2 linked regions of the Caenorhabditis elegans genome follow. The protein of the gene in region 2 interacts with the protein of the main gene of each other region in a pairwise test. Each region holds a gene or a part of one and is shown on either strand. Other genes may lie near its edges.

Evidence for each region.
Region 1: the proteins of pbs-2 (region 2) and pbs-7 interact in a two-hybrid assay, tested with the Caenorhabditis elegans proteins (2 studies listed by BioGRID).

Annotation. Positions count from the first base shown.
Region 1 is NC_003279.8:8,694,674-8,698,180, forward strand, and holds pbs-7 (Proteasome subunit beta), read right to left. Parts: upstream 1,629-3,507; 5' UTR 1,620-1,628; coding exon 1,588-1,619; intron 1,542-1,587; coding exon 1,436-1,541; intron 1,385-1,435; coding exon 1,206-1,384; intron 1,161-1,205; coding exon 1,049-1,160; intron 972-1,048; coding exon 690-971; 3' UTR 532-689; downstream 1-531. Other genes in the region: K07A12.5 (Pre-mRNA-splicing factor SYF2), read right to left, coding at 101-212, 265-406, 450-471; F39H11.1 (Craniofacial development protein 1), read left to right, coding at 1,934-2,032, 2,081-2,313, 2,361-2,405, 2,481-2,643, 2,693-2,827.
Region 2 is NC_003279.8:12,966,684-12,970,159, forward strand, and holds pbs-2 (Proteasome subunit beta), read right to left. Parts: upstream 1,598-3,476; 5' UTR 1,597-1,597; coding exon 1,018-1,596; intron 960-1,017; coding exon 705-959; 3' UTR 533-704; downstream 1-532. Other genes in the region: eif-6 (Eukaryotic translation initiation factor 6), read left to right, coding at 2,277-2,549, 2,599-2,706, 2,980-3,339.

The sequences.
Region 1 (3,507 bases), 4.3 Mb from region 2:
TAATGTATTTCTTTTTAACTTTTTAGATGGATAGTAAAAACCGTAATTAAGCACTTCCTTTGCGCGGCGAGATATATATATATATATACTGTATGCTTACCACGTCTGAATTTTTCGATTTCGAAACGTATTGAGACTGCGTATGAAAGATTTCAACTACTTGCTCCTTTCGAAATTCTTCCCAATTTTTCAGTTGTTTCTGAGCATCCTTCCTGGAAACCAAATCAGATAAGTTATTACATATACATCAATTTATTTAATTACTTGTGAGTTTCATACTGATCATCACTCAGTTTATACCGCTGCTGCATCTTCTTTTTGTAGCTCATCTTCTTCGCCTGTTTCTTTTCATAATCAGATTTCTGTTTATCAGGCGATGGTGATAAACTGAGCTTTTGGAGTTTACCTGAAAGCGCTCGATTTTACTTTAAACCAAAAACTCATCATACTTTTTAAACCAGAGAAATTCATGCTCGCTATTTTTGACTCGAGCACTTGTGAAATGATGCGTGTGAATACTTAGACGTGAATAGAAGGATTAAATGGAAGTTTATTTATCGACTTCACGCGAAAATAAATAAAATTTACACCGAAAACGTGGGTTGGAGAGAGTAAAATGTTTTGAAAAGAAGGATACAAATAAGTTAAACATGGAGATACTGAAACGCATCCTGCACACCGGGGAAAACTTATTCATATTGACAGTTAGTCTCGGCAATCGACCAGTCACCAATAATCTTCTCTTCTTTACCCAAAACGACACCTTCTGTCGCATCAACACGTCCGATTTCGAACTCATTGTCAGCGACGCAGTCGTGGTAGAGAGTAAGTTCAAGCGATTTGCGAAGCACGGCTTCTGCCTCTTCACGGGAGAGGTCTTCTCCCTTCTTTCTCCACTCATCTTCAACAGCTTGGTTGAGGAGGAACGCTCCAAGTCCAGTTGCAATGTGCTTCACTTGATATGCGCATCCCTGAAATTTAGAATAATTATTATGTGATTATTTAATCATGAGATTCTGATCCGGCAAGTTAACGCTTTCAAGTTTACCTTCTGAGTAATGACACCGATGAAAGGTGTGCTAGTCTCCTTGTTGTTCTTCTCCTCCTCTTCGACTCCGGCGACAACAAGTGTGTTCCACACTGGGTTCATCTTGCAACGTCTGAAATTTTTTACTTAAACTTTCAATTTAATTAGGAAAACAGACTTGGCGTAGAGAAGGCTTGTGAGGTATCCGTGGAGAGCTTTTGGTCCAATATCCTGATCGAAGCGCTTCCAGAGAAGAACCTGACGCTCGATCACATTTTGAAGCCAGTGGAAGTCAGCGTGATCTCCTCCGAAGGCAATGAGAACATTATCATTGACCTTGTATTGACGAGAAACATTCTGGAAACAAATATTATGAAAATCCACTTTCAGCTGAACGGAAATTCAAACCTTGTAACGAGCCATTTTTCCATAGGAAACAACTCGATCAGTAAGGACAACAACCCCAGTTTTATACTGGAGAGCGATAACCGATGTTCCGGTACAAGTAGGATTCCTGAAAAATTGAGTTAATTCAAACGAATATAGGTTTAATGACTTACAGTGTGCGCTGGACTTCGTCGTGAGCATTCATTTTGGTTCTGAAACAATATAAATGAAGTTTTTGAAGGGAGTGCTTTGAAAAAATGAAAGGAAGTGAATTTCGACAATGAAATGCAAAAATGGCGGCTAAGTCATCATAAAGCATGTGCGCTCCGTCGAATTTTACACTGAATACCACGCACAATTGCGTACTTCAATAAGAAAAATTATCTCGCGCTACTTTTTTTGAGATAATATTATAATATAAATTAATTCATATTTTATAAATATATTAATTCATATTTTATTCTTTTGAATTCTCACTGAAATTGTGAAACTATTTAAAATATAAATTGTTTCAGAAAAATGACCTCGGAGCTTAAAAATAACGAAGAAGACTACAACTCATCGTCCGATGAAGATTACGATCCAACAAAGGATACCGATTTTGATCCAAAGGATGAAGTAAGCATTCCTAGATATCGCCCTTTTATTGCTCATTCTCCTCAACAGATCGATGATCAAGAAGAATGCGAAGATGGAATTGACGAAGAAGTTGAACATCTGAAAAATGAAAAACAAAGTGACGACCATACATCAGAAAAGGCAAACAGTACTGAAGGAAGTGTTGATGTGGATGCGATATTTGCAGAATTAACTGGGCTAGCACCGAAACCAGTTGTCAACGATACATCAAGCAAGAATATTCCAAAAACTGAAGAAAGGGTGTATCCAAAATCAGCAGCGTATGTTTGAAACAAGTAGAAATAACTTTTAAAAATGTATTTTACAGATCTGCATCCAACGAGTCTACAAATCAGAAGGTTTATCCGAAAAAGTGAGTTGACATGAGTTTTTATTTGATACAAATTTAAAAACAACTTTTTCTTATTTTTCTAATAATTTTTTTCAGAACGGAAACAGCTGGAACATCGTCTGAAAGTAGCATTGTACCCGGAAAGAAAAGAGTCGGCTTGCTTGATGCTGCAAAATCACTGTCGAAGCGTTCTAAAATTTCTGTTTTGGAGAAATCTGATCGAGATTGGAAAGATTTTACGACGCAAAATAATTTAAAAGTATGTTTCTTTAAGTTTAAGGTTTTTGAATAAATTGTTTGTTTTTCAGGAAGATTTGGAATCTCATAACCGAGGGAAAGGCGGTTATCTGAACAAAATGGACTTCTTAAACCGAGCTGATAATCGCCAGTTTGAAAAAGAACGAGCGTTCCGTGCAACAGCTCGTAAGGACACTGGACAGTAAATAATTCTTTATTTTTTCAATTGAATCTTTTTTGTGATTTTCTGGTTTCTTTGACAATTCGTAACTTTGAAAAATTCATAAACCTTCTGTAAAGATACGGACATTGAAATTTAATCATGAACATATTTAATGGACAAAAACGAGAAAAATGGTAAAGGGAGACAATAACTAAATCTAGAAAAAGGATGAATCATGAAAAGGGAATTGTAGAAAAATCACATTCTAAAATAATTAAAATGAAATACAACAACTTTGGGAAAAGGTAGGTTACAGTTTTATAATACGAACTCGTTTGTTTTTAAGGACTTTTTGTGGAATTTTTGCGAATTGTTTCAGAACAAAAAAAAATCTGCTACTTGTTTTTAAAACTGGGATTCATGAGGAAAAATAGATAATGGAAAATAAGGAAAAATTAAGATTTGCTGGGCTTGAGGGGAACATGATGAAGACATGAAGTAGAGAGCACATAGTGGGATGTGGAGAGAGAAAGAGCTAGAAGGAAGCGAGAATTGTTTTTCTGATCATTGTGTTAATTTTACAAAAAAATGGATAGGAGATTGTGTTGATTCGATGATGACTTATGATGTTGATGATGGTAACGGCAAACAGAGAAAGAAAAGAACAGGAAAAAAGCGGATAAAGCATGAATTTTGAAGCACACAGAACAATTGAAAGAACAA
Region 2 (3,476 bases):
AATGTTGAATTTCAACTTGAAGAAGCTTCACGTCTTCAAAATTCGATTTTACGTGAAAACAAACATTTTTGAAAGGGCCGGAACACGGCCGAATGAGGGTAAACTATGGAAAACTGATAAAATAATGATAAAATTTGGAATTTTTCGGAAAAACGACACTGATTACGACGGGGAAGGCAGGGAAATGAGTCAGAACAAGATACAAAAAAATGTTTCGCGCCAATGATTGGTGGGTGGAGCGTGTTTGCTATATGACCTGCACATCTAACTCTCTGCGCGGCAATTCAAATCGGATTATTTTTTTCTTGTGAGTTTTGACTCTTCTCTCTTGACTTTTGAGAAGAATTCAGGTGGAAATTAGTTTTTCGCAGAAAGTTTTCAATTCAGATCTGGAAAATCTATTCATTTCGCAGTTTTTTCCTTTTAAAACCCGGAGAGTAACTTTTACTATTGGGAAAAACACTTGAAAGCGTTTTTCAAGTCATTTTTCCGGCTTTCAGTCCAAATTAAGACAACAAACAATACCAGTTTTAAGGAAAATAGACAGTTTATATTCGGAATTTATAAAACAAATGTGATAAGAACTGCCGGCGGATACGAAAATACCGAAAAAAGTAATCACCGACGACACCGAAACGGATGGAAAATCGAAAAAAAATAAATAATTGGGGGAAAGAATACACACATCGACAGAAGACCGCAATTTAGTGAGTGATATCCATGGACTCGACGACGTCGTACTTGTAGGTCTTGTGTTTCAGCACCTTGGTGGCTCCGGCCTGGAATTTGTAGACGAGGTCGTTGGGCTCTGGTCGCTTGCAGAATTCTGGCACAATTGGCCCCTTGAAGACGGTCTCGCTTGGCTCGATGATCACAAGATTCAAACTGTTTCCTGAGGCGTTGTCACCGTGCATACCGGCTTCCAGGGCGCGTTGGACAAGCTTCTCGGCTTCATCTTTCTGAAAAATATAATTATAGTATTTTTAGCGCATTGGAATTCAAAAATAGACTACTTACCGTCATATCAACCTTAAAATCACGCTCCAAAATAGTGATAGCTGCATATGATCCAGATCCTTGAGCTGTGAATGGGAAGGCCATTGTAGTTCCGTTGGCGGAGCACATATAAAGATGTGGGCCAGTTGGATCGACTCCTCCAATGAGCAAGTAGGCTCCGATGTATCCTTGATAGTTGAAAAGATGCTGCTTAGCTTGACGAAGAGCGGTGATCACACGAGCCTTGCGCCCGGTGTTTAATTCCAGAAGACGGAGATTTCCAGAGAGCATCTTTGTGACTTGATCGAGATCGGCGGCGGTTCCGGCTCCGCAGGCATAGATCGACTCAGTGAGCTTGTGAACCTTCTCGCAATGCTTATCGGCGATGATATTTCCGGCGGTGGCACGGGAATCAGCTCCCATCACAAGTCCGCCCTTGAAGGCAACGGCGACGATGGTGGTTCCGGTACTGGTGAGCTTTGGAGCCTTTCCGCCCATCTTGCACATTGCCTGATTACGAATGCAGTTGGAGAAGTCGAACGCGCCTCCACGGTCCATGTCCATGTGTGGGACGGTGGATTTGACGTCAGCGGTGGCCATTCTGGAATTAATGTTGTATTTGAAAAGATCTCACAAAACATTTTGAGAAAAAAAAACAATAAAAATGACAGGAAAAATACGGAAAACCATCTAGAAAAAACTGATTAACGAAAAACTTCGATTTCCCTGATTTCTGCTGTCTCACAAGTGATTTTCTGCAGATAACCTATTCAATAGCGAACTTCCACTTAATTTCTACAAATTTTTAATCAAAAATACGCTAGAAAAGCAGGAAAAATGGTGGAAAACTTCGAAAAATGTTGGAATGCTGACAAAAAGATTTTTCAAAGTCATCGCAACGACACTCCGAAATAACGCAAATTTGTAGAGTTCCGTGGAGCGTGTTTGCACCAAAAAATTTCCGTTAATTTTATTTTATTTTTCAATTGAAAATCTCTGCCTAAAACTTTTAATCTTAAGTTTTTCATTGACTTTTTGAGTTTTAAAATTCAAAAATTGAATTTTTCGTTCATTTTTAAGTAATTTCATATAAAACTGCCTATAGAAAATGAAAATTCCCTGTTATTCAATATTGCACAACATTTCGAAGCTCCGCCCATTTGTAGTTTGTATTTGTCTTGCTAACACCCATTCTTTCTCGTTTTTCCAATCAATTTTTACTATTTTCTCGATATTAAATCAATTAATTTTCAAAAAAAATTCCAGTTTCCCGGTTGAAAATGGCTCTCCGCGTCGATTACGAAGGATCGAACGATGTCGGTGTGTTCTGCACCCTCACCAACAGCTACTGCCTCGTCGGCGTCGGTGGCACTCAGAACTTTTACAGTATTTTGGAGGCCGAGCTCAGCGATCTCATCCCAGTCGTGCACACGTCGATCGCCTCGACCAGAATTGTCGGAAGACTTACAGTCGGAAATCGTCACGGACTTCTCGTACCAAACGCCACGACTGATCAGGAGCTTCAACACTTGAGAAACTCGCTTCCAGATGAGGTATGCGGGCAGGAAATTGAGAATAAATATTTAAAATTTGAATTTTCAGGTCGCAATTCGCAGAGTTGACGAGCGTCTTTCCGCTTTGGGAAATGTTATCGCTTGTAACGACCACGTCGCTATTGTTCACGCAGAAATTAGCGCAGAAACTGAGCAGGTAAGGAGAAATCCTACAGAACTGCGACTTTCAGTGTGATATTCCCACTTTTTTAATCGAAAGTTAGTAAAGAATCGTCGAAAAATGTTCGATTGTTCTGAAAATGATATTTATTTTTTGTTCAAAAGTTCGAAAAAGACCCAAACTTTAGTCGGAAACGGACAATTTTCATAACTTTCTTATTAATTTTTGATTCAAATGCTTGGCTTAACATACTGAAATTAACAATGTTCACACTACAAACTACAAAAATTCCTAAATTTTCTCTTTCAGGCGCTCGTCGAAGTGCTCAAAGTGGAAGTATTCCGTGTCAGTCTCGCCCAAAACTCGCTCGTCGGCAGCTACTGCATTCTCAGCTCTAACGGTTGCCTCGTGGCCGCCCGTACTCCACCAGAGACCCAACGAGAAATCGCCGCTCTCCTTCAAATCCCAGTCGTCGCCGGAACATGCAACCGAGGATCCGAGCTCATCGGAGCCGGTATGGTCGTCAACGATTGGGTCGCATTTTGTGGACTCGACTCCACTTCTACCGAACTGTCCGTCGTCGAATCGATCTTCAAGCTCGGCGAGCAAGGAGCTCCGACAAGCATCAGCAATCAGCTCAGAGATACTCTGATTGAGAGCATGCTCTAATCTTTTTTCTCACTATTTTTTTGATCTACCATTCATTGTTTTCCCACCTTTTTTGTTGTTGGTTTCCCCGTTTTTTGTTGTCAATGAAAAAACCCCTGAAAAATTCGAATTTTTCTCTCTTAATTCCTTCTTTGATG